Linked DNA regions of Arabidopsis thaliana. The protein of the gene in region 2 purifies or fractionates together with the protein of the main gene of each other region. This does not show direct contact. Each region holds a gene or a part of one and is shown on either strand. Other genes may lie near its edges.

The links.
Region 1: the proteins of PIP5K1 (region 2) and CIPK7 purify together in Arabidopsis thaliana (affinity purification with mass spectrometry, with the first as the bait; one study listed by BioGRID). This does not show direct contact.
Region 3: the proteins of PIP5K1 (region 2) and ARFA1D purify together in Arabidopsis thaliana (affinity purification with mass spectrometry, with the first as the bait; one study listed by BioGRID). This does not show direct contact.

Annotation. Positions count from the first base shown.
Region 1 is NC_003074.8:8,169,066-8,175,556, forward strand, and holds CIPK7 (CBL-interacting protein kinase 7), read left to right. Parts: upstream 1-3,413; 5' UTR 3,414-3,588; coding exon 3,589-4,878; 3' UTR 4,879-5,077; downstream 5,078-6,491. Other genes in the region: RLP36 (receptor like protein 36), read left to right, coding at 5,793-6,491. UniProt on the Arabidopsis thaliana protein: CIPK serine-threonine protein kinases interact with CBL proteins. Binding of a CBL protein to the regulatory NAF domain of CIPK protein lead to the activation of the kinase in a calcium-dependent manner.
Region 2 is NC_003070.9:7,731,267-7,740,597, reverse strand, and holds PIP5K1 (phosphatidylinositol-4-phosphate 5-kinase 1), read right to left. Parts: upstream 5,938-9,331; 5' UTR 5,546-5,937; coding exon 4,449-5,545; intron 4,355-4,448; coding exon 4,190-4,354; intron 4,022-4,189; coding exon 3,856-4,021; intron 3,642-3,855; coding exon 3,531-3,641; intron 3,451-3,530; coding exon 3,257-3,450; intron 3,168-3,256; coding exon 3,037-3,167; intron 2,952-3,036; coding exon 2,858-2,951; intron 2,590-2,857; coding exon 2,289-2,589; 3' UTR 1,826-2,288; downstream 1-1,825. Other genes in the region: AT1G21990 (F-box/RNI-like/FBD-like domains-containing protein), read left to right, coding at 1-68. UniProt on the Arabidopsis thaliana protein: Catalyzes the synthesis of phosphatidylinositol 4,5-bisphosphate and phosphatidylinositol 3,4-bisphosphate.
Region 3 is NC_003070.9:26,562,304-26,569,601, reverse strand, and holds ARFA1D (Ras-related small GTP-binding family protein), read left to right. Parts: upstream 1-3,790; 5' UTR 3,791-3,916; exon of another isoform or gene 3,917-4,440; 5' UTR 4,441-4,449; coding exon 4,450-4,597; intron 4,598-4,691; coding exon 4,692-4,762; intron 4,763-4,842; coding exon 4,843-4,962; intron 4,963-5,049; coding exon 5,050-5,168; intron 5,169-5,245; coding exon 5,246-5,327; intron 5,328-5,434; coding exon 5,435-5,440; 3' UTR 5,441-5,884; downstream 5,885-7,298. Other genes in the region: AT1G70500 (Pectin lyase-like superfamily protein), read left to right, coding at 873-1,124, 1,244-1,372, 1,478-1,648, 1,739-1,759, 1,851-2,058, 2,157-2,238, 2,315-2,423, 2,506-2,622 and 1 more; AT1G70480 (OBP32pep, putative (DUF220)), read right to left, coding at 5,994-6,413, 6,492-6,635, 6,713-6,835, 6,925-7,083, 7,182-7,298. UniProt on the Arabidopsis thaliana protein: GTP-binding protein involved in protein trafficking; may modulate vesicle budding and uncoating within the Golgi apparatus.

The DNA.
Region 1 (6,491 bases), on a different chromosome or scaffold from region 2:
TAATATAATATTACTATATCGCTTAGATCTATAATTGGTGGTTCCTTGTTATTTCCGAATATTGTTATTTATATCATGGTGTCGTTTTCATTTTGGGGGTCAAAATCATGTCGTCTTCCACTCGATAATGGATCTCGGAAAATTATTTCTATGAATACTATTTTGGTACTTATTTATATCTTTCGTTTCGGTTTTACCACATCTCTAACATGAAAATAGTTAATTCTTTGACAAAAAAAAATTTTGGTTAATTTAGGGACTGCGAAAAGAGCACGTACCAAAATGTTTTAGATTACAAAAATGGTTGAATTTATGGCCACTATTGAAAAAAATAATTAAAATTCCACAAATCAAGATTTTACGTGAACATTTTGGTTAGGATGTATTAACATACATGTGTACGAAAACCATTTTTAGTCATTTTCAGAAAAATTATGCGTTACGAAATAACTTTATATATCCAATGTAAGAAAATAAAATAAATTTGCCTAACTTGTCCTGTGAATGAATCATTTCAAATGATAATAAAATCCATTTGTTTAATGATGATAATTTATATATCCAATGTACCAATTCATTCATGCGTTACGTTTCACCTTCTTCCACCTTATTTTGATTGCAGATAGAACACCTCTAAACCACATAAAACATATACACACAAAGACTCGACACATAATCGAAATTTTATATAACGAAAAAAAATGTAGAGCTTTAATTTATTATTGAATTTCAAGTTATCGTATGTCTCACGTAATTCGACATATAATTCCATGGGGAGAAATAAGTTTATCACGTCTCTTTGAAAGTTCAATGGTCGTATCGTTTATCTTTTTGTCCCAATAAGCTATCTAACTAATCTAAGTGAATTAAGTCTACTTAAGACAACTCCTACTTAGTTCTCCCCAATTTCTTCAATTAATTAATTTTCCTAATCACATTTCCAACAATTTATGCATGCGTATAAAATACAATTATATATTAATATGTACTAATACAAAATTTTATGATCTAGAACATGTATAAGTTTTCTTTTTTTTTTAGAATATCTAAAAGTTTAAACCCAAAAACTCAAAAACTTTACGTTTTTTAGAGACAGAATCTATACTAAATTAAATTTATTTCTCTAATAGACGTCGAACTCATTATCTCTATATTTGAAAGATTTACCACTGAATCAACATCATATTAGTATTTGTACAATTATATAGAACGATATACATTTTTGCCAACTTTTGAAATTATACTAAATGTCTAACCTTTAAACCAGTTTACTGTACAAATACCTATGTAAAAAGAATTCTGTGTGATATATAATTGTAAATATAATACGCAAAGAGATCGTCAATTTTGAAAAACACTTTAAATAGTAAATATTATATAGAAATTTATCTCCTTAAATTAGATGTCTATATGTTCAGAAAAAATATTGGTATATTTTAAAAATTACAACATGGCATCTGACCTGCTCAGAATTAAAATATTAACTGTAGAAGATATTTTGATACAACATAATCATATATTATTCCACTACCTCCAATAGTCCAAATATATAGCAATAATTTTCTAAAGATACGTATCAAGAATGGTTTAATATGATATCATTGTTACATGCATATGCGTAATTTTTTTCATAGTTAATATATTCTTTGTAATATGGAGCCGACTGATGAATATTGGTGAGTTCTAGTGTGTGACAAAGATGCCATTGTTGACTAGCAAATTCTAAATCTGAGGAGAATAAAATAATTCTAGAAATTGAACTTTTGTTTTTAACACCAAAATCAAAACCAATGGGCCCAATTCTTTGCTGACTTGGCCAAATGAGAGCCGTCCATATGTCAGTCGACAACTGCCAAACAATCTTGACGGTTTGTTAGTTTGGCTCAAAAGCCACCAGTAATCACTGATCAGTTTGGGACTTGAGTAAATGACTTATTTACCCTTAGTTCAATAATACGGTTTTGTGTGATTTAATTTGCTAGTTAAGTTAAACCATATTTAAGGATGGTTTAATTACATTTCAGGTGGAAAAAATTGATGAGAGAATCTAGCTAGAAAAAGATGGACACGTATGGACCGTTGAAAGTAGGAATACAAATTATTTAAGGAATACAATATTTAATTTCAACACCAAGTGTCGAATAGATACAACAATAATAATGATGAACACCAAGATTTATTTTATATTCTCTATTTTGAATATTGATTACTCCAACTTTTTCATGATTTGTTTTTCAGCACTTGAGATTGGAATAGACACACTGTGATATCGACCATAAAATATTTTCTTAGGAATATATCGTTGTGTATAAAGTATAAAGTTAAGTGTAATGCTTTAAACAAGAAAAATAAAAGAGTTGAGATTGTAATCATAGCAAAAGGCTATTTTATAGACCTTTTAGCGGATGGAAAAAAAAAAAAAAAAACACCTTTTAGCTACATGATGTAGCCTACATCATATATAAAAAAGATAATAGAATTATTTAAGAAATGTAATGTGTTATAAATTAATAACCAACACATACACAATAAGATTCATATAAGTTTATGAAATCAAGGTTGTGATATTGTTGTTATTGAGATCCAAAACTTAAAATCCAAAATATCAGAACTTTTGGAGCATTGGATTATATAAAATATATTTTTCTCAATCAAATCTTTTTTTAGTTAACAACTTTAAATTAATCGCAATAGAATTATTCATGAAAAATGTTATTTACATATAACCCAATCCAATGATTTCAAAAGAGATATTATAGAATTTTGTAAAGCATTAAAGATTTAACTACATTTTGTTACATAGACCCATAATCATAAAACCTTTGATTCATAGTTTCATTCTTATAATGGTCTCTTAAGTATGAAGGTGTTGTAGCGGAGACTAGAAATATATATGAGGGTAATGTTTGTCTGTTGAGACACATTTTTACAAGCTATTAAAAAAAATGATTCCAACAATATTTATTGAAAGTAAATGTATTTTATTAGGAGATTTTAAAATTAATGTCATATTCTAAAATGTACAATATATACATTATTTTTTGAAGATTTTACAATAAATTTCAAAGTGAAACTGAAATGATTTTATTAAATTTATATACATAACTCTTTGTGTTTTTTTGACAGTCATATATATAACTCTTAAACACAAGCTTTTACAGAACATCTACAGTTATTTTAGGTGAATAAACACTCCAATTTCAAACAATTTAAATAAATAAATGATAATTATCTGTCAACCCATAAACTTTACATTGTAAGACCATTTTATTTTATTTATTTTGACTATTTATGGATATGTGATATTATTGAGAAAAAAAACACTATTACTAATTGACAGAAAAAATACACTTAATATTTTCTCCTAAATTTTCTCAACGAATTAATTACAAAATAATGTGTATACCAAGTAAAAAGATTCTACTTCTCAGTGACAGCAGAACTAATTTATTCAAGGGTAGTTTCGGAATAATAAAAAAGCAATAAATCTCTTTTTCCTATAAAAGCAAAGAGACACTCACCAAACAACTCGTCCCTGAAACCTCTCTTCAGAAAACTCAGGCACCATTTTCTCCTTCCGCCGCCGCCATGGAATCACTTCCCCAGCCGCAAAACCAATCATCTCCGGCAACAACTCCGGCGAAGATCCTCCTTGGGAAATACGAACTCGGTCGTCGTCTCGGTAGCGGAAGCTTCGCGAAAGTCCATTTAGCTCGATCAATCGAATCCGACGAGCTCGTCGCCGTTAAAATCATCGAGAAGAAGAAAACAATCGAATCCGGTATGGAACCAAGAATAATCAGAGAGATCGATGCGATGCGTCGTCTTCGTCATCATCCAAACATACTCAAGATCCATGAAGTTATGGCAACCAAATCTAAGATCTATCTCGTAATGGAACTCGCTTCCGGTGGTGAACTTTTCTCAAAAGTCCTCCGTCGTGGACGTCTTCCTGAATCAACGGCGCGTCGTTACTTTCAACAACTCGCCTCCGCTCTTCGTTTCTCTCACCAAGACGGTGTCGCTCACCGTGATGTGAAACCTCAGAATCTACTCTTAGATGAGCAAGGTAACCTCAAGGTCTCTGACTTTGGTTTATCAGCTTTACCGGAGCATCTACAAAACGGATTGCTTCACACGGCGTGTGGTACTCCGGCTTATACAGCTCCGGAGGTTATTTCACGGAGGGGATACGACGGAGCAAAAGCTGATGCGTGGTCTTGTGGTGTGATTTTGTTTGTTTTATTGGTTGGCGATGTTCCATTTGATGATTCGAATATCGCTGCGATGTATCGGAAGATTCATCGGAGAGATTATCGGTTTCCGAGCTGGATTTCGAAACAAGCTAAATCGATAATCTATCAGATGTTAGATCCGAATCCAGTAACGAGGATGAGTATTGAAACAGTGATGAAAACGAATTGGTTCAAGAAGTCTCTAGAGACTTCTGAGTTTCATCGTAACGTCTTTGATTCGGAAGTAGAGATGAAATCGAGTGTTAATTCGATTACTGCTTTTGATTTGATCTCGTTATCGTCGGGATTAGATCTTTCTGGATTGTTTGAGGCTAAGAAGAAGAAGGAGAGGAGATTCACGGCGAAGGTTTCGGGTGTTGAAGTGGAGGAGAAGGCGAAGATGATTGGGGAGAAGTTAGGTTATGTAGTGAAGAAGAAGATGATGAAGAAGGAAGGAGAAGTGAAGGTTGTTGGATTAGGGAGAGGAAGAACTGTGATTGTGGTGGAAGCAGTGGAGTTAACGGTGGATGTTGTGGTGGTTGAAGTGAAAGTTGTTGAAGGTGAAGAAGATGATTCACGGTGGTCTGATTTGATTACTGAGCTTGAAGATATAGTTCTTTCATGGCACAATGACATCATGTAAATAGATTGTGACTTTGTGGATTTTAGTCTCTTTTTTGTTTTGTTTCTGTTCAGTTTTGTATAATCCATGAAGAAATCAAAATCTCCCGCTTCATTGTCTTTTTACCAGCAGATACATTACCCTCTCTGCTACCGATTCCATAAGCTTTGATCACTACATGGTACTCAATAATGATTCTCTTATTCGCTCCTTGTCGCTAAGCCCATGGGCTCAACTCAACGCATCTTCAACATCCTCAATATAAAATTCAAAGCCTCAAGAATAGGTGGGGATAATGTATCTTAGACATTTCGTCGAATTGGTGGGTGCTAAAAAAAATTCTTCAGTAAAAGAAAAGGGACGTAAGATAAGGTCCAACAAAAACAAATTATTCATAGGAAGACTTGCCAAGTCAAAAGTCAAGCTCCTCACACTTTTATAAAAACAAGTGAGTTTATGCTCATCACTTACCACAAACAAATTATCTTCCTTTCCCAAAAAAAACGAAATTGAGAGACGATGATTCGAAGCCTATCTTATTGCTTTCTTACCATCTATTTCTTCTTGAGCATTCTTCCATTACCAAACACCATTGCTTGTCCCACACGGTTACTGTGCCGCAGCGACCAAAGAGATGCTCTTTTAGAGGTACAAAAGGAGTTACATGTACCAACAACTACATGGAACAAGAACGTTGACTGTTGTTCTTGGGATGGTGTCACATGTGATGCTATATTGGGAGAGGTGATATCACTACAACTCTATTATAGTACTGCTAACATCTTCGTGAGCTAGTGCTTTCACGTTGCAAACTTCAAGGGGAAATTCCTTCTTCCATTGGAAATCTTTCTCATCTCACATATCTTGATCTTTCGAATAATCAATTAGTAGGTGAAGTTCCCGCTTCAATCGGTAACCTAAACCAACTAGAGTCCATGCGTCTTTGGGATAATGATCTAAAAGGTAATATTCCTACTTCATTTGCCAACTTAACAAAGCTTTCTGAATTGTACCTCTTTGGAAATCAGTTCACGGGTGGGGATACAGTATTAGCCAATTTAACCAGCTTGTCCATTATAGACCTCTCCTTAAATTACTTCAAATCCTCCATTTCCGCTGACCTTAGTGGACTTCACAACTTAGAGCGATTTTCGGTGTATAACAACTCATTTTCCGGACCTTTTCCTTTATCATTGCTCATGATTCCTTCTTTAGTCCATATTGATTTAAGCCAAAACCACTTCGAGGGACCTATTGATTTTAGGAATACCTTTTCATTATCTAGGCTAAGAGTGTTATATGTTGGCTTCAACAATTTAGATGGGCTAATTCCAGAATCTATATCTAAATTAGTCAATCTCGAATATTTAGATGTTAGCCACAACAATTTCGGAGGACAAGTCCCTAGATCAATATCTAAAGTAGTCAACCTCACTAGCGTTGACCTTTCCTATAATAAGTTGGAAGGTCAAGTCCCTGATTTTGTATGGAGATCCTCAAAGTTGGATTATGTGGATCTTTCTTATAATTCTTTCAACTGCTTCGCCAAATCAGTGGAAGTTATCGATGGAGCATCATTAACTATGTTAAATCTTGGTTCAAATTCAGTCGACGGACCATTCCCCAAATGGATA
Region 2 (9,331 bases):
TGAGAATCACCAATGCTCTTATGAAGCTTCCTAGGGTTTCATCAAACTGTCGGATCCATTTCCTCTGATATCTCTTTGCCACCGTTGTTTATTTGCCAAAACCTTGTTTATTTGATGGTTGCAAAGCATTATTGTTTAGACTCTCAGAATTGTTTAATTGATCATAACCATGTCTTGTAATATTTTCCAACATCACCCAATTAATTCTCATAAAATATTGAAAGAGGCTATGTATATATCAAAAGAGTGAGGAAGATAATTTTAAAAAGGAGAAATATGAAGCATAACCATGAAGAATAATGATACCAAAAAATATGAAGAATTATTATGAAGATACATATTTGAATAATATAAAAGATATGAAAAACTTAAGAATGGATATTTCCTTAATTAGTGTTTTCTTTCATGATTATATTATTATTATACAAGAATGACCACCTACGCAACATCCAATGTCTTGCAATTTGCATGTATATTAAAATAGTGTCATGAGTCACGAGGTTTCTCGAGGAAGTGAAGACAACATCATTAGTATAAGGATAATGCGTCTACGATTCTTACTTATTTAGTGATTACTTTTGATATATCTTTCTACAAATTATACCTCTTATAACAATTGTTTGTAACAAACGAAAGAATTATAGAAATACAAGAATAATGAGAAAGGGATAGCTAAGGGGAGATGTCCCCTTCATGGTGGGACATTATGTTGGGGTGTTAAAAAAAAATACACGAATGGGCACATTTGGTGGCTTTTTTCAACTTCAGACAAACATAGTCCCAAAGTTGAGACCAATCCCTAATTTCCCATTCTTCTTGTCTTCATTTGGGCCTCCATTGTCAATATCTGACACCCCATCTGTCTGAATCCATGAAAACTACATCCTCCTTTTATTAAATCGAATTTTCCTAATCCAAACCCACACTATGACTATCGTAAAATATGTTTGCACCACTCAGTTCTTATAATGCAATGTTTTAAGACTACGATAAGTATGATTTCTCAGGGTATCTTAAACAAAGACTATTATTAATTTATGACTTTGGGATTTCGGACACTAGAATCTGAGAGAACATGACATGTTAGTTAATTGCTTATTTCAAATTCCAAATTGGTATTAATCTATTAAGTTCTAGGCATTGTAGTCTTAGATAATATGTCAGCTTTTAACATCTAGTGGATCTGTGAATAGAATATCATGTGACTCATGTCTATATGTTGTTTATTAATGGGATTAATTACTTTTGCTAATGTGCATTAACATGTTCTTTTGCAACAAGAGTTGTTTATTATTACCAATGAAAGCAATTATATGGACTGTAGAAAGTATTAAACTTAATGAAAAACAATAATTGTCTACTCACTACTGTTTACTTTGGAAAGAAAAAATATACAAATTCTTTTAATGTAAACAAAATATAAAACCATGTCAAGTCTGAAAAAACCAGTTTTAGTTTTTTTGAGAATTAACGATGATGCAATGGATTGTTGATCAGAATCCAAGCGTAATTAAATGAATTCATAGATAAACAAACCGTTTCAGGCTTCTTAGACTTTTAGTTTTTATTAAAAGATCTAAGACTTTAATTTGAATAACAGTCTTATACTTTGTGAAGCTATCACATATGAAAAAAACTAGACTTAAGAGATTTAGACAAAAAGAATGCAAAGAAAAGACATGTGGTGTGCTAGTTTAGCTTTATCTACTTTTCATGAAACCAACCCCAATTCAACTCTTCCTTCTTTGACCATATACTATTTTACTAATCAACTATTTTAGCATTTACTGTTTACCATTGACATTGCTTTAGGTTCATAGATTATGCAAGTGGTAAAGTTGTATTGAAAGAAAATAAACAACAACAAAATAATGGACCCCTTAACTTTGGATGGTTAAGGAGGGATCCTATGAGAATATGGGATTAAGAGAACTAATTAATGGTATTACTATCTTTCATTTTTTTACTTGTACACTTTACTTTATTCCACATTTTCGGAATTTACCAAACCCTTTTTTCCTTGTAATTTCTTGTCTGCCTATGTACTAAAACCTTCAATCTATATTCACATATATAAATATTATATATATAAACGGCTCACCACAAAAATAAATAAAGCCCCTCCCCAACCCAAAAACTTGATTGGTCATCTCAAAATATATAAACATAAAATTCCGAAATCGCTTTTCTTCTATCCTTGAGATTTACCTTTTTACTCTTCCCGCGCAGCTTTCTTCACATTTCCGTAGAGCCGAGAATGTTAGTTAAAAACTTTAGCCTTCTTGTCTTTAGCCCTCTTCAATGAAGATCCTACTGATGAAGTCTCTGAACCTCTTTGAATAGAGTTTAGGATCAACAGCTGAGATCGAAGCAGGATCGGCTTGCAGTGACTTATACGCATGCTCGATCTTTTTGGTTATGTCGTAGTCTTGCAAGATGTCAATGACTCCAAAGTAGAGAACAACTTCGTACATCTCACCGTGTGATGGATAACTGGCTCCTCCTGATGAATACTGATCAAAATCGCTTCTCCGGGCCATTCGTTCAGCTTTTGCTGGCATGTTTGCGCCTAATCTGATCGATGGTTTCCTGTTAACACAAGATTGAATATTAAGCAAAAATTGATGGATCATGAATTGATTGATTCTTTTCTAGCAAACAGGACCACATGACTTGTTTAAACACTCCCCACACAAGATTGCCAAGCACATTTAATCATTCCTACATATATTATATACTTAATCCGAAATTGAATCTCTCAACCACTTCATGTCTCAATGGCTATGAATGCAAAAAGCTTCCTCTGTGAAGTCAACTTCTTAACATTAAAAATGAAACCCGGATCAATGATTGTTACCTGCCAGCTAAAATCCGGTCCATGTCTTGAAGTTCTGCCTCTAGGAAGCGACAACCGCGCATGAATTTTTCATTCTGATATGAATCTATCCTACCTGCATAAGATTGACATAAATCTCACGATAGGTCGACTTCAGCGGGGGGACACATATAGAGAATGATCAATGATGTATAATTTACCAGATCTCAAAACGAATGGAGAAAGCCCCATCTTTTCTCCTGTGTTGTCATCACGGAAGTGAACACCAACTAAAAGGCTATAATCCATTATTCTCTCTGCTTCCAAGAACTCACAATCGCGTTTTATTTGCCTGATCATGAATACCGATCAGCATTAGCATATGTTTAGGTAGCTGAATACTTTGCATACGCAAAAAATAGTGAGAAGCATGGAGCTTACTTCATAAGCTCTTGATACCAGTTTCTCTGAAGACGGAAAGAAAAATTGAGATCAAGGTCCTTGAGAGTCGTGGTCTCATCAATTTCTCCTTCAGGCTTTGCAGTGCTACGCCCATGAGAAGACCCTTTGAGGTCAAACCGTCTCTGGATTCTATACTCGGAGCAGAATAAGTTTCCCATAACGATAAACCGAGTCTGATCAAAAATGGTAAACAAAACAGTAAATTTTCTTGACACTAAGAGACCCATGAAGCTTTAGATGAACAAACACATACCTTTTGGCCACCAACAGGTTTGACACAATGAACACCGTAGAATCTAGTCACAAGGGAGTTTTCGTATTGGCAGACATGTTTGTAGTAACTTGGAAGCATTCTTAGAAGAACCTGGATAGAAGAAGACAAACACTTCAGGTCAAATTTCTTTAGCTAATCACAGACTTAGTGGAGTTTATGATTGAGAAAGTAATGTGAAAGCAAAGAAACAAACAAACAAAAAGGGTGTCCCATCCGCTAATCAAGTAAATTAACTTGAACAGACAAGCATTTTCAAATATGACAAGAGAAAGGTCAAAAACAAGAAGAGCCAACAACTACTAACCTTGACTTCTGATTTCTTCACCGTTTTGATCATAAATCTATCATCTTGAGTTAGGTAAAAAAAGCTTCCACTCTTTCCAGGTGAAGATAGTTCGCGGAGAGCATCATTTCCACATATAGCTAGCATATACTTAGCTGGATCCACTTGGAAAAGCTCCCTGAGACGTCTACAAACAAAATTTGCCCAAAAAGAAACACAATTCATCACAAATACGTCCACAATCTTATCAACTAAGCCCAAATTTGGGTATAGCCACATCATCAAACTTAAAACGCATTCAGCAATTTGCTAAATTGAAACACTTTTCATAAAAATAAAAAAGCTAAAAAGTTACCTGAACACTAAAGGGCAATAATCCTTCCACCTGAAATCCACTGACTGATGCGGCGGTGTTGTCTTAGTCCCTTCTGGTGGAAACCTTGTCCAAAATTTCTCCTTTGGATCGAAATCAGTCTGTTTAAGATCACGAACAATCGAAGCATGTTTGCCAACAGAATACCTAATTCAATCACACACAACCTTCATTAGAAACAACAGAGAAAGCCATCACACACCAAACAAAAACACCAATCCACCAAATTTGAGATATTTACCTGATTCCTAATTGCAAATTCAGCATCAAATCATATTTCTTATGCCCTTTAGAAATAGTCTGTCCAGGTTTCTTAGCCTCACCATTAAACCAACAAGGATTCTTCTTAAACTGCCTAAACCCATCACGATCAACAGAGATCCTATCTCTATAAATCATGGAAGCTTCAACATTATCAATAATATCACAAGTGATATCTCCAGCTTCACCATCAGATTCCCAAATACAGATTCTTGGAAAAACTTTCTCACCTCCCAAACTCCCAGCTCCACTATCAACAGAAGATCTCTTCCTATTCCCCACAATCAAATCATTCTTCTCAACACCATTAAAGAAACTCCTCATAATATTACTCTCATTCCAAGCACCAACACAAGAACTCCCATCACTCCAAGTAAACACACCATTCCCTTTAGGAATCCCATTCTCCCACAAACCTTCATATCGATTCCCATTAGGCCAAACAAGCAAACCTTTCCCAGAAATCACACCACTACGCCACTCTCCAGTATACTGATTCCCATTTCTCCACACATACCTACCTCTACCATCTTGTAGATTCCTTCTCCAAGTACCTTCATAAAAATCTCCATTTGCATAACGCTTTTGTCCATGTCCGTGTTTTCTATCAGCAACCCAAGTTCCTCTATAAGTATCTCCATCAGCTCCAGTGAAAGTACCAAAACCTTCCATTCTCCCAGATTTGAATTCACCTTCGTAAGTAGCTCCACTTGGCCATGAGAATTTGCCTTTCCCTGAAGCTTTCCCTCGTTTCCAATCTCCTTCGTACATGCACCCATCTTTCCATAGATACTTCCCGGATCCATGTGGAAACCCACCGGAGAAACTTCCGATGTAAAGATCTCCGTTTGGTAGCGGCTTCTCAACATCTACTAAAGGCGTGGGAGTCACGCGCCGAGTCGTTCCTTGAGATCTCGATCTCACCATTGGAGTAGATTGAGCTAACAACACCAAACCGTCTCGTCTCTCTACTTCTTCACCGAAACGCAGATTCTTCTTCTTCTTCTTCTGAACGACGCTGCTTAAAATGACTTCACTAGCTTCTTCTTCTTCTTCGTCTTCTTCTGAATCACTCATCAGAGAATCTTCACTCCAGTCCTCGATTCACAATGTTCCTCAATCTCAGAAAATGTCATTCGTTTGAAATCTAGAGTTTTAACAGATTTCTTAACAAAAAAAACTCAGTGGAGAAACGAAAAACACATTTCTCCGGCGATTCACCACCGGATTTTTCAAATGGGTTTGAATAAAGCTAGAAACTTTATCAAGAATTTGGTTACTCAGAAGATATCACACAAGTATTTCTAAATCTGAGAAGAAGAAACCTTGTGAGATTTCGTACAGACGCTACAAGAACATCAAAAGAAGAAAAGTGATGAACAGAGAGACACAAGAGAGACGATGATTAATTTTTAATTTATAAAATAAAAGTATTGGGAAGCGGACACAAAAAGCCCACCAGCCCGAAAAAGAAACCCACAATATTATTAAAAATTTGAAAACGACACCGTAGTGTAAACATAAAATTAATAATACATACGTACTCGAGATTGTTTCGAATTTGTCTTTGTATAATTTAAAGCGATATGATATAGTATGGGCTACTTCATACGTTAATAGTAGAAGACCAAATGATTAGTTTATGGTCTACCTTTGTTTACTTATTTTATTGATAGTAGAGAAATGATTATGATTGAGAGGATTATCGAGAAATCTTGATTAGGAAGCGAGTTTCCAGGTGATTGTCTTTGATGACTTACTTAATTAATTACTTTTATGATTCTAAGAATTTTGTTCTCTTCTGTGATTAGATGATCGTTGTCTTGGTGGGTTTTTTTTATATCTTTTCGAGTATTGATTCTCTTCCTACTTGCGATGATTTATTAATTTAAAGGATACTTATATTCCCATACGGATAGTGATAGATACAGAAGATGGTTGATGCAAGTAGTATATGAAATTCTAAAGTTGCGTTATTTTTTTAACGTTTTTATGTTGATATTGATAGTGCCAAAGGTTTACATTTTAAAGTTGAGTTTTTGTCCGCCATTTGTAAATTAGGTCTAATATTTTATTTGATAAATAATCGAGATTTTTTATAGTTTGGTTTCGCATAAATAGACATACATCATCCTATAGGCTATAGGTTCGTGTACTTTGATTTGAAGTGCTAGTAGTAGGACATGATTGTCATTCGAATAACCACAAACATCATAAAAACTATATTGCGAGTTGCGACCGTGCACGTAAACTTCATAATTCAAACGTGTAACATTTTAACAAAAAAAAATGCTACAAAAATACCTAATACACCACATATTAAGTATGTATATTTCTAAAATTGTATTATACGTACGAGTGGTCAGTGGTTAGTTACCACGGCTGTGGTGGTTAGAGTATCTAACACATTTGATCACCATTTAATTAAAATCTTTATAAAAATATATTACAACCGCATTAGGAAAAATTAAAAATATACTTCAAGGGAACGTGGGCGTACGTAATCTGAGTTTAAACTTTTTGTATAAAAGAAGCAATTGAATCACTCAAAATGTTCTTAAAACCTTAATTCAAGTTTGATACTCCTTGTTTTTATATCTTCATAAACTGACCATTTAACATTTGTTTTCTTGCGTTTGTTCTACGTGTTGGAGCTATTCGACACTTATTTATGTTATTTCGTCATTACTACACCGTTTATTTTATTTCGGTACTCGAAGCCGACGTTAATGCTGGGGGTGGATCCCCAGTTAAAACCTAAAAGTACTCAATAACTTTTGTCCACATTAATGAAAAAATCACACGATACGAATAAATATAAATATTAGGAGTATAAAATATGGTTGAATGAATGTATTTTTTCCCATTCATACACCATAACGCGTTGGTACTCTACGCCATACTGAGATACTTTCCCATTCCATATTCAAGGCATCTCATTACTCTTCGCTGTATACTTGAAATCTGAAAGCTCTAGTGTTTCTTTTTTGACGCTTTCAATTCTAAAAACCCACGAGGACACATCTTTTTCGATTCCTAGCCATCATTTATTTGTGTATATGATTTTTATATTGTCATAGAATACACATTTTGATTTGCAAAAAAAAAAAACATTCTTAGCGAAATACCGACTTAATTGTCCACAAATATGTAAGATAAGATCTAATTATATTGATGTATTCAATCACACGTATTGGCATACTTATAAACTGTGGTACTTCGAATCTGATGTAAAACATCTTTGTTTTTTTTTGGTCAACTACTAAGAGAATCTCTAAAATTAGTCTTACACAAAACTTTATTTTATTGAGTACTGATTTCGAAAGAAACAAGTGTCTTCGGTTACTTGTTTTTGACGAAAATAAAATATTGCCTTAGGCAAATTAAAAACATTAAACACGAATGTTACGTGTTTAATTGGCTAAGTTAACGCAAAAAAATACATATACATATATTTGATATATTCAGCATAATTTGTTTTATTTATCGTTTTTAGAATTCGTGGCCATTAGACCCATAACTATATGACGATGTTAAAGAGAAAATAAATCATAAATAAAATAAGAGTCCTTATCAATAAACCTAATTGGCTAATTTCAACCTCAAAGAGTAGTAGGAACAGGTAAGGTGAAGCCAAACAGCTCCTTTTACAGTTGGACCACTAGAGCTGATCTGGCATACAAAGTATGCTTATTGGGCTGTCACGGCCCATCCGCAAAATGTCGTTGGTTACGAAGCATCCACGACATAGACGGTGCCACATGTAGAAAAGTGTTTCGGCGATCAAGATTGTGTCCACATCATTAGCGTCTGAACTGTCCACGTGTCTATCAAAGCTGGCGTCAAACATTACGTTTTCGTCGTTTGCGCCTCCTAGTTCACACGTGCAACGAACGCGTGCGACGTATCAAAATTGTTAATGTTAGCCATGTATAAAGAATATCTACAAAATTAACCTCAGGAATATTTTTGTTTTTTCAATTGAGAGAACAAAGAAAAGACTGGTGAGTGATAAGCGATGATGGCCGGTGAATCAGGTAGCCGTCCTACAACGTGGTTGATTTTGAGCAAACTCCTATCTACTCTTCACACTATTGAAATCCCAAAATGTCGTCACACCATAATAATGTGAATTTTGTTATGGAATTTGAGGGAAACAGTAGATATATGTTTCTACCAGTGAAAGTTACCCTGCTTTGGACATATCTACGAGAGTAGAAAGTAGAAACATTCACTAAACGTGACAACTTTATAAATTTTCTTTTTGTAACTTTTCTTTAGATTTATTTACGAGAAGAGAAATATAAACGTTTGCTAATAAAAAATGATTGCATTATTTTCTACCATCTAGCTAGCTTGAATATTGATCAAGTCTTCACGTTATTAGTTTATCTCTTCTCTCATAGGCATGTCCACAAAAGGGTAAGTTTTACTGGTTCAAAATATTGCATGAGTACTACTAAGCTCGTATAGTTTGATCCTACTATCATTGCGATGAGGGTTGTTAGTTTGGAAGAAATAAGGATTTATGCAAATGGTAATCATTATGTCTGCTATTTAAGAAGTAAATTATGATGCTTGTTGCGTGAACATATTAAATTTGCGAAAAATAAGCAAGGATACACGAGAGAAGCTCAGATATTCACGTAACGATGTTTCTTCTCTTCTCATTGAGGTAACATATGGCCATGATATAGCTATTAAGCCTACGGGATTGTCATTTCAACGCCGGATCTACCAAACTGTTCCATCTCTTATTATATATAGTTTGGTTATTTAAGTAATTAGATGCATCATAATCTTTTTTTCTGCCAGTTGTAATGCAGATAAAAATATATTGGTTGTTCTAAGGATTGTTCAAAC
Region 3 (7,298 bases), about 19 Mb from region 2:
CTTATCAGGTAAAAGGGCCCGTTAGAGATGTATTGTATATCTTATGAGAGTTATAAACGTACATCAAATTTTCATTAACCATCACACGTTGAACACTTGAGTTAATCTAACTTGGTTTCGCCTATGTGGTAATGTCGAAACTATAGTAAATAGGTCTATATATATGGGTTTAAATTGGTCAAAGGAACTTAAATGAGAATCAACTGAGGAGTAAACTTAAATGGGTAAAAACCTCACATTTTTAGTATATGTTTACGTCTAGTCATCTATCCATTCTAAAACTGTATATCCATTCTGTAAAATTATCACAAGGAACACTTTTTTTTTTTTCTTCAAAGACTTTAGTTACGAGTAAACAACCTCTCTAAAAAAAAAATTTTGAACGTATCAAATCTTCAACTCAAGGTTGGTACAACAATTGACCTATAGTACTATATATATATATATATATATTTACATGCATGGGACAACAACTATATGTTTGATTTTTCGTTTTCCAAACTATATATGGCACCATGTTTAAATGTCACAAGTTAAAAAAAATGTTTAAATGTCACATGTTTAGCTTTATGCGTCCTTTTCTCAGAGTTAATGGGATCAATATGTTGACCAGGAAAATATGTGTAGAGTTTTTGGAGTAAAGCAAAGAAGTGGGAGCCTTGTGCTTTAAGGTTAGATGAATTTGTATTAAGGGCTTGTCTTCATCTACTTTAAAGCCAAGCCAATAAAATCGCCTTAATGATCTGCTTATATATATATTCAAACCATATTATCATCTCATTACAAAGAAATCATTTTTGCATAAAATCTCATATCTTAAACTATACAATCACTTAATCTTTGCTTGGAGTTCTTTTTTTCTTAAGCATAAAATGATTAAACCCTTTATTATTTCTCTGTTTGCTCTGTTGATGGTAGCTTCTTATGGAGCTACAGGAAAAATGTTGTTCAAGGAACTTGACATTCTTGGGAAGCTTGAGAACCTCGATGTACCTGAGGATGATATTGAGGATGATGTGACCTTCTTTGATTTCTCGTCGTTTACAAGCCAATATTCTGGTAAGAATCTGGTGAATGTGGATAGCTTTAATGCATCTGGAGATGGAGTTTCTGATGATACTCAGGTGCGTTATGCTCGAATCGGTTTAAGAAATTCATGATAATGCTGGTGGAATAGACACACAAAACCACCATATATATATATTTTAATTATCAACTAGTGAAAAGTTTCTCTTATAACCAGGCATTTATAAGAGCTTGGACCATGGCCTGCTCTGCACCAAACTCTGTTTTATTGGTTCCACAAGGACGTAGCTATTTAGTAAATGCGACGAAATTCGATGGTCCATGTCAAGAAAAATTGATCATTCAGGTAATCTTTTAACTTCTTAATTCCTGTTACACGTTAAGCTACAACAACATGTTACCATTTATTGTCTTATGCATTTTTATTTTTTTTTAATTTTGATTTTGATAGATTGATGGAACAATCATAGCACCAGATGAGCCTAGCCAATGGGACCCGAAATTCCCAAGGAATTGGCTTCAATTTTCCAAACTCCAAGGAGTTGTATTCCAAGGGAATGGAGTTATAGATGGTTCTGGTACCAAATGGTGGGCTGCTTCTTGCAAGAAGAACAAGTCTAACGTAAGTATCTTCTTTACATAAAGTGGACTTTCTTCTAATCAATCATGAAGTAGAAATCTGACACATATCTTTCTTGTTTTTCTTTTGTAGCCTTGCGTAGGCGCACCAACGGTCTAAGTTTTTTCCCTTTTGTGTTCATCGACCATTAGACTTATCATTTATGTTTGATTTTGCTTATAAGAAAGTCTTTACTTTTATACAGGCTCTAACTATATATTCAAGTTCAAATGTGTATGTGAGAGGCTTAACTATCCGGAACAGCCAACAGATGCACTTGATCATACAACGGTCAACTACAGTTCGAATCTCTAGAGTTATGGTCACATCTCCAGGAGACAGTCCCAACACTGATGGAATTCATATAACCGCATCTACCGATGTTGTAGTCCAAGACAGTAAAATCAGCACAGGTTCTTCACCAAAAACTTCTATTTAACTCAAAACACTATCATGGTAATTATAATATTAAACTCAAAATGTTATAGCTGACACTTCAACTTGAAAACAGGAGATGATTGTGTCTCGATTGTGAATGGAAGCGCCAAGATAAAGATGAAGAGGATCTACTGTGGACCAGGACATGGAATCAGGTAAACCATCTCTAACCATAAAAAGAAATGAGACACATATATTATTATTGATTGCAAATAATTTCTTGTTCTGTAGTATTGGAAGTCTTGGACAAGGACATTCGAAAGGAACCGTCACTGCAGTTGTGTTGGAAACTGCGTTCTTAAAGAACACAACTAATGGTCTAAGAATCAAGACATGGCAGGTAAAATCTCAATTCTATTGATCTTTGCTTTCCTTCCAAAGAGTTTTCAGGATTGATTGAAAGATGAAACTCTTTAAAACAGGGTGGTAATGGTTACGTAAAGGGTGTACGTTTCGAGAACGTAGTGATGCAGGACGTTGCGAATCCGATTATAATCGATCAATTCTACTGTGATTCACCATCAACTTGTCAAAACCAGGTTTTAATTCTTTCACATAACCATTGACTTATCAACAAACCTCAAGAAAGAAACTTAATCTTTTGATTCCTATTTCTTTGCAGACATCGGCGGTTCACATATCCGAGATAATGTACAGGAACATAACCGGAACCACGAAAAGCTCAAAAGCCATCAACTTCAAGTGTAGTGACGCAGTCCCTTGCAGCCACATTGTCCTCAACAATATCAACTTGGAAGGCAATGATGGAAAAGTAGAAGCATATTGTAACTCTGCTGAAGGGTTTGGTTATGGTGTAGTTCATCCTTCTGCGGATTGTCTGTATTCGCATGACGACAAGAGCTTAAACCAAACTGATCAGTATTTGGCAGAAACTATTATGGTCGAAAAAGAAACTGAAAATGCTCATGATGAGCTTTAAGGTGATCACATATTTTGACGGTCGTTGTAGTGAGGAATGTGCACGTTATATTTAGTTGTAATTCATCTTTAGCAACTGACCTTATATATATAGCTTGTTAATGAAGCATATACAATGAGATTGAAAAGCATTGTAGTGTTTATAAATTGATTATAATTAAGGTAAAGATTAATATTTTTGTATAAAAAATGAATGCTTATTTGGTAGTTTGTAGCATTTGCTCATCTCTCTATGTTTTGTTATGATCGTTAAGGGTTGGCAGCAAAACCAGACCCAAATGTTTAAATTTTTAAGCTAATACTAAACCGGAATTGTCTCTCAATTGATTAATTTTATCATTTTGAAAATAAATCTTTTAAATGATTTTGTGGCTAACGTTTCCCAAAGTTAACCAAACCAGACAAACAAAATTTCATTAAAAATATCATTAATAGATGTAGATATGTAATCATATTATATATATTAAAATTATTTTAATAATTATAAAATTTATCAAAATTGATTGAAATGACGATTTCTTATTGGTCAGACAACATCAACAAATAACGAAATTTTCACTGGAGATGAAGTAGCACTTAAGAAAAGAGTATTGCTCACGTGTTAAGTTTTAATTGGTTAGCTCGCGAACACCTGCACACTTGGTCATAGAAGATTCGAAGAGGGTAATTCCGTCAATTACAAATGGCAATTTCGTTAATTGGCGTGAGAAACGACGAATAAACCGGTACCCCTCTCCCTTATAAAATTGCTCTCCACCACTTCCCATTTCGGCGTCATCGCGTTTCTCTTAAGCTTCTCTCACATTTCTCTTTCAAATTTCTTCGAGTCTCTCTCGCTCTCTCCGTTTCTTCGCGGTCTCTCTCTCTCAGATCTCTCCGAAACATTCTTCGTAGGTACGCTTTGATCTAAGATCTGTGCTCATACATTCTCAATTTAGCGTAGATCTGTATGTGTTCTGCATTTCTCGTTTCTTGTGAATTTTGATGGTTTTGGAATCGTCGTGATTGATTTCGTTGAGGTTGATCTTGCTCATGAATGGATAATGCGATTTTATTTTTAAGATGTGTATATATGTCGACGTTTCTGATTACGATCTGATAGTGTGGATCTGTTGAATTTTCTATTCACTTTCGTTTTCCGTCGTTGTGATTGTATCTGATAGCTTCTGAGATGTTGAAGATCTGTATCAGAGAGATTATGATATCTCGGGACGTTTGATTCTCTGTTTGGATCGGCCTGATCTCGTTGAAATTTGATGTTTGTGAGTGACGATTTTGGTATTGATCAGGTTCTTAGAGGATATAAGAATTGAATTTGGCATTATAGATGCATAATTTAGGATTTCTGAGATGAAAATCGCGTGATATAGAATGTGTATGAGGTTTTTGATATTAGACTTTGTTGTGTTTGTTTGCAGTGAAGCAAAATGGGGTTGAGTTTCGCCAAGCTGTTTAGCAGGCTTTTTGCCAAGAAGGAGATGCGAATTCTGATGGTTGGTCTTGATGCTGCTGGTAAGACCACAATCTTGTACAAGCTCAAGCTCGGAGAGATTGTCACCACCATCCCTACTATTGGTAAAGAAGCTTCACACCTTAGTACTGGTTTTTAAATTGTGATGATGGTATAAAATCTAGGATCGATTAGTGATATGCTAAATTCTATCAACAGGTTTCAATGTGGAAACTGTGGAATACAAGAACATTAGTTTCACCGTGTGGGATGTCGGGGGTCAGGACAAGGTATGGAGTCTCTGTACTGCTTATTGTTTGATGAAGGAACTTTTCACCCAAATAAACTGACTTTTTGGCTTCTTTTTCAGATCCGTCCCTTGTGGAGACACTACTTCCAGAACACTCAAGGTCTAATCTTTGTTGTTGATAGCAATGACAGAGACAGAGTTGTTGAGGCTCGAGATGAACTCCACAGGATGCTGAATGAGGTAAATATCCAGTGCTATAGAGAAAGAGTTCTTCTTCATAGTTTTGTTAGTTTGAAAATCCTTTACTTACCAACTCTTTTATTGCAGGACGAGCTGCGTGATGCTGTGTTGCTTGTGTTTGCCAACAAGCAAGATCTTCCAAATGCTATGAACGCTGCTGAAATCACAGATAAGCTTGGCCTTCACTCCCTCCGTCAGCGTCATTGGTAAATAAACATCCTTATAAGTTTCAAAAGTCAAACAATTTCTGTTCGATACTGATGTGTGTTTTTGCTCGCTACAGGTATATCCAGAGCACATGTGCCACTTCAGGTGAAGGGCTTTATGAAGGTCTGGACTGGCTCTCCAACAACATCGCTGGCAAGGTAACATAACTACATAAGTTTCTTCAAAAACACACAAATCTAACGAGCTGGTTTCTTTTTATTCTGCGATGCTTATATCTTTACCTCGTGTTGCTCTTCTTGCACAGGCATGATGAGGGAGAAATTGCGTTGCATCGAGATGATTCTGTCTGCTGTGTTGGGATCTCTCTCTGTCTTGATGCAAGAGAGATTATAAATATTATCTGAACCTTTTTGCTTTTTTGGGTATGTGAATGTTTCTTATTGTGCAAGTAGATGGTCTTGTACCTAAAAATTTACTAGAAGAACCCTTTTAAATAGCTTTCGTGTATTGTGCCTGGATTAATATGATTGATTGTTTTGCTTTCTTGTTTTTGCGTATCCTATTTTCACGTCTGCATCGTTTTCATCACAGAAATATCTTTCTTTCTTTACCAAAATAAATGAATTAGAAATTTTGTATATTTGAAAATTCATATCACTATTGGTCATTGAGTCATGGTTGTAATGGTCATGAGTCATTGAGTCATGGTTGTAAACTTCTTCAACAAGGAATAGATTCCCACATTTATATGCCAGTGTATCTTATGAAAACAAATATTATATTATGTTCACATATTGCTGGGTGATCCAAAAATCCTCAAGATATCTATTATCCCAGAATCATGGACTGTGTGAGTCTGTGACTTAACACAAATCATTGCGTCGTCTCCTTGATGTTCTTCTATGTGCAGACCATCTTTCTTTTATATCTCCAGGTGTGCCAATCCGTTGCTCATCGGGCGAGTGACCATCCTCCATTACTCCAGCTGCACGGATCCTGGCGGTCTCAGCCAACAAGTCATGGATAAGCATCTCTGTCGTCTTAGCCGTGATTCCTCTGAGATACCAAGAAATGGGCGGAGGTGGAACAATCGCTGGCTGTATTAGCTGGTCCAGCGTTACCTTAGATCCGATCCTCCCTTTACCTCCAGTGCACCTGTTATACTCCTCCAGCGTTTTCGGTTTCAAACGATCGCACATATGTTCATCCACAAACAAAGGCTTTACTTGCCAGCTTCCTTCGAATCTCTTCATGAATCCACTTTTCACTTGCTTGAATTTCATCTGCAACACCCATTTAAATCCCCTTTCACGAACCATTCAAGAAACTTGAGACTTTTGTTATAATCGTAGAGGTCTTACAGAGTGATCTGCCCGATCCTGATCCACCAAGACATGAACTGAGATTGTTCCTGACCACCAGAGAAATCTCCACAAAGCTGCTTGTTCAACTTCCACCACTTGCCTTAACCCGTCATCTACCAATACTTTCCGCGACATAACCTCCTGTAATTCCGAGGCCAATGAATCACAGGAGCTTAAAACTGTAACAGAGAGAACAAGATAATCTATAAGAAACGTACCTTGATATTCTTGAAGACTCTTCTATTGTCAGGGTCAATTACAATGTTATAGACTGCATCAGGAGGTAAACCAACATTCACCTCGGCTTTAAGATTGCAAAGCGATCCTTTTGGAATACCCACCTGTAAAGAAATCTTGTTATTATTTATCATATAACAAGATTCTCAAAGACTCTGACAAAACCATGTTGTAAAGTTCATCTCTTGCTCACCTTAACGACTGGGATCTGATCAGTCCACGAAGGGTTTTCCCTCCAACAATCTAACTGTTTCTCCAGATCAATTTGCATGGAGATCGATGAGTTTCCTTTATCTTGCCTCCATGAAGAACCAATCCCATGCTTATCATCTGTCAAATTCTTCAGCTGGGACTGTGACAAAGAGAACAAAATGCTTCCTTTTTCAGCTCCTCTAAAGATCAAAAACATCACAAGGTATTGAAAAGCAATGTGTGGAATCAGAGCATGACCTTAAGACGAGTTTGGAGTTTCTGGGAAAATCCAACGAATCGAGAGAGTGCAGGATCAAACACACTTGAGACCACATTTCCCTTGTTTCTCTCTGTGTCTGATCCCGGATTGCCCAT